3 linked regions of the Pelodiscus sinensis genome follow. The protein of the gene in region 3 purifies or fractionates together with the protein of the main gene of each other region. This does not show direct contact. Links are inferred from orthologs where the notes say so. Each region holds a gene or a part of one and is shown on either strand. Other genes may lie near its edges. The genes, in order: POLR2J, POLR3E and DNAAF10.

Region 1 (3,748 bases), on a different chromosome or scaffold from region 3:
TTACACATGGTGGCAACAAGGGCCACAGTGAGAAATGGGCATCCATTAACAATTATATACCTTTAACTACCACAAACAGGCCTGCAGACCTCACCCAAACATGCTCCTAAACCGGACTGCATGCTAGGTTATCTGGTGTTTGGTTAGTCACTGTGCACCCAGGCAACCATCCTAGCTAAATGTAATCCACTGCCTTGCTACCGTACTCCTATAACTGTGCAATAGGAAGTGACTTGACTTACGATTTAATAATATTTCCAAGCGTGTGATCTTCCTTGTTGATTGTAAACAGACAGGCATTTGGTACTTTTGTATCCTTATTAATTGTGATCCTGAATTAAAAAAAATAGTATTAAATCAAATTATGCGAGCTAACAAATTAAACCAAGCCATTCTATAAATATCCAACATTTATCTTTTGATTCACACCAGATAGATACTTTTGTACATGTTTTGGATAAACAAATTTATGAAGTCAATATGGAATCATGATCCTGATTCATCAGAAGGAAAAAATTCACAGAACCCTAACAGCATTGCTACAGCAGCACAACAGTGACATAAGAAAAGAAAGAATTTCAGAGCACAGCTTGCTAATTTAAAAATTAGTGTAACAACAAGTGCTTCTCACACAGCTGTAGCTGCATATTGTTATTGGCAAGAGAAAACTCTTCAATGGGCCAAAAATTACTCTATGCACAGTGCAGTAACAAAAGGTTAATTTAGCAAACATTAATTTGAAAAGCTTTGTGGGTAAATTAGTCAGCCTCAGAGTTAGGGATGTAAGCGACTAGTCAACTAGTCCCTTGACTAGTTGATGCCTCCCTCAACTAGTTGCTTCCACCCCAACTGCTGCCTCTATCAGTTTGTATTTCTGAAATTCTCACTTAACCAATAACTTTGGTTACGGAACTCAGAATAGGTAAAAGGAGCCAAAACATAGCATATGTACCAAATGTCAGAGCAGAACAGAGCAAGATTTGAAATTAAAGGATTTAATTTGGACCCACCTACTTTTGACTGTCTCTCCTAGGACTGTACACACTTAATGTCAAGTGACACCATCTCTGAATTGGAGACATATTTATGGTCTACCACCTAACTGGAAGCCCCTCTGCCAATTATTGAGATTTTTACAATACAGATTGAACCTCTCTAAAGCAGGACTCTCTGGTCTGGCAACACTGGACCACAGATGTTCCAGTACCAGAGTGTCCTGGAGGAGGGCTGGCAGACAGGAGCCTGGCGCATCGCAGTGGGGCTGCCCAGCGGGGCCAGGAAGCCTGGCAGGGCAGGCGGCAGAGGGGGAGCTAGTGGGCTGGGGATGGAGTGAAATGACCTCCACGAGTGTGGCAAAATTCCTCATCTGGGACTGGTCAGGTCCCAAGGGTGCCAGATCAGGGAGGTATAACCTGTAATAGAAATGCAGGATGGAAAGAACTTCAAGAGGTTGTCTAGTTTTGTGGTTCTCAAGCAAGGGTCTGCAGCTGCTTCCCCTCCTTCCCCTCAGACCTAGTGCCCACCACAAAGCCCATAGGTGGGGTTTGGGGAAGCATTTGGGAAGGGCAGTAGCAGAAAAAGGCCAGGCTTGGAGATCGAACCGCCATGCGGGCTCCTGGACCAAATTGTGCAACTGCTCCATCAGGGACAGCCCAGGAATTTGAGACTCCCGTTAAAAACCTTCCAGCTGGGTATTCCACAAGTCCCTGAGGTAACCTGCCCCCCTGCACACTCAGTGTTATGGCTGGAAAGGAATCCCTGCTACCTAAGGGCCAGGTGAGCACTCGGGCCAGCAGACTGCTGACAACTGGCCAGGAGGTTCGGGCAGAGTAGTGGTGATGGGCCGACAGCTCCCGTGGTGCAAGCTATTGGAGAGGCCTGACCCCAGGGGGGCCTCGTACAAGCGAGCTGCGGCCAAGCCCGCGGCACTACCACAGAGTGAGCGCAGCAGAGTGAGTGTGGGGAGGGAGGGGGGATGAGCCGATGTCTGGAGCGGTCCGACGGGGGGGGGAGGGGGGTGTCTGAGAAAGGGGTCACCCCGGGTGAAGTGCTGAGGAAGGGGTCGGGTCCGGCTCGGGGGGGGGGGGGACTGAGGGGCTGAGGAAGGGGGCGGGTCCGGCTCGTGGGGGGGGGGGGGGGACTGAGGGAGGGGTCGGGTCCAGATCGGAGGGGGTGGAGTCCCACCCGCACTTACTTCTTCTCCCCTTCGAAGAGCAGGAAGGACTCGAAGGCTGGCGGCGCGTTCATCCTGCGGCGCTAACGGCTTCTAGCAGGGCCCGCTTCCGCTTCCGGCAGTCCCAGCGCTTCCGCTTCCGGGGCACTCAGCCCGTCGCCGCCGAATCCACCCGGAACAACGTCATAGTGACGCCCGCGGCAGAACGGCGGCAACGGTCGCCACCCGAGCGCGCGTCGTGCGTCCTAGGCTCTTTGCGCCTCTCACTGGACTCCCCCTCCCCTGTGCCGGCAGAGGCCGGGCATGCGCAGTACCTGTTCTAGCCTTTTGACGGCAGGAGCCCCCCGGGTGATAGTAGCAGCATCGCGGCGCCGCTCACGCACCGTCCGCAGGGCCGCGAGCCGCTGGCTCAGCTCACCGCCGCCCTTCAGCAGAGACACAGCGGGCAGAGGGACTGACTGGGGTCCCCGCTCACGACCCCCCCGCATCAGCTGGGCAGCAGCCCCCGCGGCTTTCCCCAGCACAGCGTGAGCGTCGGGCTGAGCGCAAAGCAAAGGGCCCCAGCTGTGGGGTGCCAGTCGTGCATTACACTAGAGCTTTAACCACCTGGGTGCCAGAGCCCCAGCTGTGGGGTGCCAGTCGTGCATTGCACTAGAGCTTTAACCACCTGGGTGCCAGAGCCCCAGCTGTGGGGTGCCAGTCGTGCATTGCACTAGAGCTTTTTAACCACCTGTGTGCCAGAGCCCCAGCTGTGGGGTGCCAGTCGTGCATTGCACTAGAGCTTTAACCACCTGGGTGCCAGAGCCCCAGCTGTGGGGTGCCAGTCGTGCATTGCACTAGAGCTTTTTAACCACCTGTGTGCCAGAGCCCCAGCTGTGGGGTGCCAGTCGTGCATTGCACTAGAGCTTTAACCACCTGGGTGCCAGAGCCCCAGCTGTGGGGTGCCAGTCGTGCATTGCACTAGAGCTTTTTAACCACCTGTGTGCCAGAGCCCCAGCTGTGGGATGCCAGTCGTGCATTGCACTAGAGCTTTTTAACCACCTGTGTGCCAGAGCTCCAGCGGTGGGGTGCCAGTCGTGCGATGCACTAGAGCTTTTTAACCACCTGTGTGCCAGAGCTCCAGCGGTGGGTGGGCCGTAGTGCATTGCACTAGAGCTTTAACCAACTGGGTGCCAGAGCCCCAGCTGTGGGGTGCCAGTCGTGCATTGCACTAGTGCTTTAACCACCTGGGTGTCAGAGCCCCAGCCATGGGGCCAGCCTGCAGGCATAGGACTGACCCCCACTCCAGCTGCACTTTCAGGGGTACAGGTGGGCGGGTAAGACACCTGACAGCCACTGCCAGGCCCTTGGGTTCCAGTCTCCTGAGCAGCCTCTTGCTCAGTTAGGAGCTGATCCCCCACCCGGGTGACAAGTCCACCTTGCACTACAAGGTGTCCAGCTGCCCCGCCTCATCGGTGTAGATCAGCGTACCGGGCCACGGGAAATAAACACCGGGCCTCTCCATGCCTGGTGGCTGCCGGTGGGGCCGGCCTTAGGCCGATTCAGACCCCGCATCCCTGAACCCAGAAGTGCCGG
Region 2 (3,748 bases), on a different chromosome or scaffold from region 3:
AAAGAAAATTGTCACAACCATATATACCAAAGGACACAATTAAAAAAATGAACACATATGAAAAGGACAAATCAAATTTCAGAACAGAAGGGGGATGGATGAAGGGAGGTAAATGTCTGTGAGCTAATGATATTAGAGGTGATAATTGGGGAAGCTATCTTTGTAATGGGGAAGATAATTAGCGTCTTTATTCACTTGAGTGTAAAGTGTCGAATTTAAGCATGAATAACAGTTCAGAGGATTCTCTTTCAAGTGAAGTCTTAAAATCAAGTCATTGAGACAATGTCCTTTCTGGTTGAAATGTCAATAAACTGTTTTTTCTTTGTGATCCTGTCTGATATCTGTTTTGTGGGCATTGATCCTTTGGTGAAGTGTCTGAGACGTTTGTCCAATGTACATAGCAGACGGACACTTTCGGCACATGATTGCATAAATTATATTTCTTAGACGGCTGTTTTACCACACAGCAGTGAGAAGAAAATGCCTAGAGGCTATAAGCTTTTCAAATGAACCAGGCTTTGATTTTTCAGCAAGAATTGTTCAAGAAAGAAAAAAATACATCAAACTAGAACATCCCGGGCAAGAGATACCAGAAATGTAGGCTTTTCCTGCCAAATTGCAGGCCTCCCTTATGGGGGGACAATTCACACTCATGGCATTGTGATGTTGCAAAGGCTTGATATTTGCATTGTAATGTTGCAAAACTTTGGGTTGATGCTGCACTGTGGCATTATATAACAGAAGCTTCATTGGGCTACTGTATGACAATTCTCTGATACACAGTGACATCACATTATTACACTGCCGTACTAGGATACTGAGTTTTGTAAAAGTTTGACACCCATTTTTATACTTAGTTGTTTCACATTGGAACAGTGACATGCCCACACTATTAGTGAGCAATGGGACATCCCTCCAGAACTTCAAGCAGCTCGGGAGCTCTGGAATGATTGCTCTAATTAATGCAATCTAAATGCAAAAATACTGATTAGCCAAACTTACCTGTTTGTACCTATTGCTAATATTATTTCTTACTATCTATCTAGATCAGTGATCTGAGCTTATTCATGTACTTGAGTTGCAAAATAGTTTATCTTCTGAAAAAAACTATTTTTAAACAAAAAAAATCTATAATGGAAGCAAGTGCATTCAAGCCCTTCATTTCTATGTGAAAGACTCTCCATAATTGAATATACCTCCAAAGCTTCTGACTATACAGAAGCTACAGTATTGGAAAATTATAAGGGAAAAAATACGAACCATCAAATGAATACACTATAGGAAGAGCTACATCCCATGTCGGTAGCGTGGCCGAGCGGTCTAAGGCGCTGGATTAAGGCTCCAGTCTCTTCGGGGGCGTGGGTTCGAATCCCACCGCTGCCAGAAAGCTTTTGTGCTTCTGTGTTTTGCAGGGGACCGCACAGCGCCGCCTGCTGCCACGCGGAGAACCTTGACCCCGCCTGGGAAGCATTGTGGGTAAGAGGAGGAACTAGTCTCCCCACGTGTCTGCTGCTGGAGTTACATCAACATGGCTGCTGCATAAGAGACCCCGGGACCCGCAAACCCATTGCAACGCGCCGAAGGGGGGGACCGGCTGCCCCTGGACCCCGCGCCACGAGGTAGGGGGGCTTGTGTGGTGCATGGCTCCGGCCCCTAGTGCTGCGCAGGGCGTTGCAGCTGCTGCGGGGCGCGTTCCTTTGCAAGGCCTGGGCTGGGGTGCGCGCTGCCTGCTGCAGTTCCTGGGCTTGAGCTCAAAACTCTCCCGGAGTCTGAACTCATTCGCCGGGAACTGCCTGGGGAGGGGGACCTGGGAATAGCTGGGCAGGGGTTGGGGATGCTCTGCATATCTCCCCCCCTCCCCCGGAATGATGCGGGGATGACTGCTGAAATTCACACGGTTTGCTTGTAATCAATCAATCAGTCTTCCTCTCTGCCTCTCGCCTGTGTATGTGGGGGGGCGTGCAGTGTCCCCTCCGTGCGATTGCTGCATGGTTACATCAGTCGTCTCAGCCTCACACCAAAGTCTAGTTATGGGCTAAGAATTGAAAAAAAGACTTGGCACCGTCTCTCTTTGCCTTTAGAGTATCCCAGGACTAGGAAAGAGTCAGATTTAACATGAGATTGTAGATAGGTGTGGAATCTCTTCTCCCTGAGGTGAAGTGGTTACATCGGCCATCTCTTTGGGGAGGCTTCTTCTCCTACCTCCCCCCAAGCAGTAAGCAGAGTTTGATAACTCCTGCCCCTCCAGCTGCTTCCCCTGTCCTGGAAGAGTGAGTAGTGAATGGCACAGGTACATGCACCTCTTTCTGGCCATCTGTGTTGTGGCTTGTTTAGGAAAAGCTTTACATCCTGATTCAAACTACCAAGTCATTCTTGCTCAGAGCAGGATTTTTGCAATCAATAGTTTAAACCTATGTTTTAAAAGCTGGCTAAATTGACATGTTTTGCTGTAATTCCCTATTTACTGTTATTGTGCTGGGAGAAAGTAGACTTACAAGCTGCTGGAAAAAATAATTAAAAACCTTCTTATAGCAGAGGGTGGCATCCAGTATGAAGGCCCAGCAGATACCAGGCACGATGTGTCATGCCTGTAATTTGGAGCTTTCACTGACTCACTGACCAGGTGACCTACCCTTTGCACTGGGTTTTCTTTGATTATGCTGTGGTTAGGGAGAAGCTATTTACTAATTTCATTCATCCAGCTACCCTGACACTGAAAGAACAAGCTTAACATTTAGTACACAAATGATATTTATGGAAATGTTAAGGTTCATGTACTGCCTGGCTGAAGTAACCATTACTGGAAATAGAAGCCTTGATGCACACAGTCCCAATGTTTTGGTTAATTAACAGAATGTGGTTTTGAAAAGGAGAAAGTGAAGGAGAGAACCTTGTAAATACACAGTTGTCTTCCTGTAGTTCTCAAACTAACATAGGCATTGTGCTGAACATCACCTGATCAGGATCTGGGCCAGTGTTTGAATGAGAGACCTCTAAGAAAAACCTGAGTGCTACAGGAAGTGACAATGCTAATTCAGAAGATGTCATTCTTCCCTTTTTAGTGGTTATGAACCAGAGCTTCTGCATATTAGTAGAACAGTGATTCCCATCTCTGTGTGTACCGTGACCCCATGTTGCACCAGAAAAATGTTTCAGGTCTCCCTGTACCTCAGTAATTTCAGGGGCCCCTCCATTCTAGCCATAAAGAGAAGCAGGTTAATTGTGAGCTGCTGGATCTATTTGTGCAAATCATGTTAAGAACCCATATCTGAGGGGGCACTATGGAACTGGAGATGCTAGCTTTCAGATGAGACACAAAACTGAGGTTCTGTCCACTTGTGGCCATCTTAAGATCCCATAGAATGAGAACAGATGTGTTACCTCATTGTTTTAGCTGAATTCAAACTTGGGGCAATCGAATTCTTGCTCATTAAATGCTACATGCAATTTAAATTAGATGGAATTTTTTTACTTGTTCTAAATTGAGCAGCTGTTAATCAGCTGCTTACCCCATCCCGCTTAACAGTGTTTTAGTTGTAGGCAAATTGAGATCTTTGCATGTATTACCCTACAGCTGTTTGGGGGGGGAGGGGATGTGTTAAAATGTAGTTAACTAATAACAGTGAGCTCTTTAGATGGACATACCTTCAGCAATCCAGAATCTACCTAAAAATAGTATTTGCACCATCTACTAAGTTGTATATTGTATCTTTTATTTCTCCCAATGTTTATCTTAATTTAATTCCTT
Region 3 (3,748 bases):
ATCAAGAATAAGACCCAAAACTTTTGAGATTTTAAGAAACTGAAGTTCTTTTTATTTACTTTCTGGGTTTTAAGAGTTCAGGGTCACATTTTCAATCTTTTCTCCACTACCAGGAAAGCTAGGAACTCTGTTGTTGTTTTAAAATGAAAGATGGGAGTCTCACAATCACATCAATCCAGGAGCCAGAGCTCTAAAAAAACACCAACAAAGTAATGTGGGAGCTGGCAACAGTGTAACTAGGCTCCACCTCTACAACAGGAGTCTGTTGAAACTTATAACCTCAGCTACCATTGTTGCCCATTAGACACGCAAATGCCCAGCTTCTCAGGAGAAATTAAAATGCTGCCAAGCTGATTTGAAGAACTAGGTTTGTTGTTTTTACTGGTGATGCACATTTGCACATGCCTTAATGCAATTAATTTGTGCATGAATGGAAAAGATTAAATGAAACATTGCCAGCCATCCTACCCCTTTTAACAAGGAGCAATTAAATTTGGGTGATGCCCCCAAAATCTTTAGGCTGGCTATCAGCAGAGTTGTGAGATGGTAACAGACAGAAATGGATTTTGAGGAGGAAAGGCATTTCCTCCTCACTCCCACAACTGATTAACAGAAAGGATGCCAGGTAGAGGAGCCAGCTAAAGAAACCTCAGCAAGTTAGTAAGAAATACTTAAGGTCATGGAATACTGGACTGGAGGATGCATATTATACTTGGGAGATAAAGGAGGGATATGGATTTTTTTCTTGTATGGAAGTGGTGACATGGCTGAGGTAGAAATATATAAGCTCTTGTTAAAATTCTGGCAGCACATCGGAGTCTAAAATCCAAATACAGTACAGTACAGACTTGTAAAATCATTTTTAGGAACAGTGTACTCGATAATACATTAATCCCAATCAAAAAAACTTCTTAAGCTGATTTTAACAAACAAATTAGTTGCCAGCATTATTGCAAGGTACCTGGTCGTAAAATCCTTTGGATCTCAGCATGAAGATACTACTCTAATACATACCTACTATTTTTAGCCTCAAAACAGGGAAAATACACATTACAGACAGAAGAGTTCGGCCATCCTGAGTTGAACAGTAAGAAATCAGATTAATCTTTTAATATAAGGAGATCTTTAAATGACACTGAAGTATTTTAAAAAGCTTCAGTGGAACCATTCCTTCACACCCTCCCACAGTGCAGGCAGCATATGGCATGTATGCTCTTATGTAAGCATCAGAATGAGAAATGAAGCTGGAGAGTTTCTAGGAAATTCCATGTAAGACCAGTCAATGAAGTAGACATTTTAAAGTTGAGTTTTAAAGTTTGTTTTTTAATTTAATTTATGTTCTTTTTAAAGAAAAGGATGGCTTGAAACACTGTTTACATGTTTTACCTTGACAATATTCTCCTTCCTTCCCTATCCCCATTTAGAAGTACCCTGTGTGAAATATGCCACTCTCCACTCAAGTGGTGACTGCAATTCATTACTACGTATGTTTTACCAGATGACTTTGGGGTCACCTGTAGCATCCTGCAAATCCATGGATATCTGCTTTATATCCCAAGATATCCACATACACAGATGTGAATGCAGCTCTCCATGGATACAGATTTTTGTGGATACAAATGTTGTCACTAGAACAGTATTCCCTGTAAGCAGTGTGCTCCTGCCACACCAGAGAAATTAAAATGCTGCCCAGCTGACTAGCAGAGAGCCCACAGGAAGGTTGTGTGTTTCTATTGAAGGTGCACATTGTTTGCATGCCTCAGTGCACAGAAACATTAATTCTGCACATGGATGTATAAGGTTCTAGATGAATTTTTCCATTTTTGGATATTCTTTATGTGCTGGTATCTACACTCGAAAATTATTTATGCGGGTACGAATTACGTATCCATACAGGGTTCTAGTCATTTGAGGCAAAAAGTGTCATTAGAAGGCAGCATATGAAGTGACCTTAAAGTCTATGAGACAGCCACATACCCGGGGTTCCTGTTCTTTATTGGTGACTGCAGGGGGAAGGACTACATTGTCTTACCAGACCTCTCCTCCTTTCATCTGCAAGGTGTGTGAGGAAAAAAATGAGACCATTCTTGCAGACTGCATCAGCGGGGTGCTGACAGCATCTTTATCGGGGGAGGGAGGGAGATTTTCAAAGGAAGGGGAGAGTTTTGTGCTTCCACCCTACACCCCGGCCAGACGGCTGAGGGGCCGCCTGCCCAGCACCCTGGGTTGGGCAGGCCCGGCGTGCCCCAACATTACCATGGCAACCAACCCTCAGGGAGCAGGTGCTGCGGGTCCTGGCACCCGCTGTAGCGGACAGCAGCTCACGGGGGAGGGAGGAGACACTGAGGGGCCTGAGAAGAGACTCAGAGGCGGGGGGGGGGGGGGGTCGTAAAGAGGTTACCAGAGCTCAGGGGGCGAGCGGCACCCCCCCTCGGCAGAGCCCAGCGGGCAGGGGGGAGCAGCGCCCGGGCGGCTGCCGACACTCACCTCGCGCAGCAGGCTGAGGCGGCCACTCTGCAGCTCGTAGAGCTGGATGAGGCCGGTGCCGCGCGGGACGCTGCCGAGGCAGAGCAGGCGCGCGCTGCACGGCACCCATTTGCACTCGAACACGGTGTAGTTCAGCGACTGCTGCACGTGCGCGATCAGCTGCGGCTTCTCCATCCCCGCGCCCGACATGCCGCCCCAACCGCCGCGGCCTGCGGCGACTCAACCACGAGCCGGGTGCCCAGCGAGCAACGGCAACATCCGGGGCTCACGCCAGTGCTCCCGCGGCAGGCATCACTCGGGGCGGAAGTGACGTCTCCGTGGGCCCGGGCTACGTCGATCTTTTAGCCCGGCTTCGCCCGCACGTGGGGTGCTGCATGGAAGGGCCGGTGGAGGACGGGGCCGGGGTCCCAGCCCCGCAGACCCAGGGCGCGGCGGAGGCCGGCGGCTTTATCAAGGTCCCCCGGCGGGGCAAACGGAAGCGACGGGCGGCCGAGCTGGAGCGGGGCGGGGCCCCCATGGACACGGGGCAGCCCCGGCCCAGCAAGAGGCCCAACTTCCCCCCCGTCTCCGCGGACGCGCTCAGGGTGAGACGGGACGCGCCGGGCCTTGGGCCTAATCTCGGGGGTGTCGCTCCGGGGCCCCGCGCTGCCCGGTCCGCTGTCACCGAGCCCTGCTCGCCGGGGGCCGCCATGGGGGAGAAGCTCCCCTGCGCCGCCTCCGTGCCAAGGCCGAGCTCCTAGCGTGGCTCACAGCTGGGTCCGGCCGCCAGCCGTGTGGCAGCCCGGGGTTTGGGGGGGGGGGTGTCCTGTCGCCTTAGGGCTGTAGATAAGGGCGCAGTGGGAGTACCGGGGGCAGCGGAGAAGTTGTTAGGTTTCACCTCCCTGCCGATGAAGCTGTCGTGTTGAGCGATGTTGTTAATTTGAAAGCTGATTTTTTTTTTTTTTAAAGCAAGAAAAGTAGTCGAGGGCGCTAGACCTAATCTTGACTCCACCCGTAAACTTCTCTGGTTTTGCGGCTACGGAATTGTTTCATGGGTTTTCTCCTTTTGTTTTTTGTATACACACATGATACATGACCGTGCTGGGAAATAATGAGACCAGTAAGTCGTGTGCTGAAGGGTGTAACTAGAAAAAAGCAGCCACTTTCTCCTCTTTTCAGCTCAAGTGATATTAGAAATGATAGGTACACATTTTTAGATGGAAGTGTAACTTTTCAGTGGACTATGTCCCTTTAGCTAGAATTTAGATTTCCGGTTTTATAG

The links.
Region 1: the proteins of DNAAF10 (region 3) and POLR2J purify together in Homo sapiens (affinity purification with mass spectrometry; 3 studies listed by BioGRID and IntAct, with this or other methods). This does not show direct contact. The link is inferred for Pelodiscus sinensis from reciprocal best matches to the Homo sapiens genes DNAAF10 and POLR2J.
Region 2: the proteins of DNAAF10 (region 3) and POLR3E purify together in Homo sapiens (affinity purification with mass spectrometry; 3 studies listed by BioGRID and IntAct, with this or other methods). This does not show direct contact. The link is inferred for Pelodiscus sinensis from reciprocal best matches to the Homo sapiens genes DNAAF10 and POLR3E.

Annotation. Positions count from the first base shown.
Region 1 is NC_134731.1:15,827,694-15,831,441, reverse strand, and holds the start of POLR2J (DNA-directed RNA polymerase II subunit RPB11-a), read right to left. Parts: upstream 2,352-3,748; 5' UTR 2,248-2,351; coding exon 2,195-2,247; intron 333-2,194; coding exon 243-332; intron 1-242. UniProt on the Homo sapiens protein: Core component of RNA polymerase II (Pol II), a DNA-dependent RNA polymerase which synthesizes mRNA precursors and many functional non-coding RNAs using the four ribonucleoside triphosphates as substrates.
Region 2 is NC_134726.1:22,733,818-22,737,565, forward strand, and holds the start of POLR3E (DNA-directed RNA polymerase III subunit RPC5), read left to right. Parts: upstream 1-1,462; 5' UTR 1,463-1,619; intron 1,620-3,748. UniProt on the Homo sapiens protein: DNA-dependent RNA polymerase catalyzes the transcription of DNA into RNA using the four ribonucleoside triphosphates as substrates.
Region 3 is NC_134713.1:181,847,119-181,850,866, reverse strand, and holds the start of DNAAF10 (dynein axonemal assembly factor 10), read right to left. Parts: upstream 2,801-3,748; 5' UTR 2,677-2,800; coding exon 2,488-2,676; intron 1-2,487. Other genes in the region: RNA-binding protein PNO1, read left to right, coding at 2,862-3,071. UniProt on the Homo sapiens protein: Key assembly factor specifically required for the stability of axonemal dynein heavy chains in cytoplasm.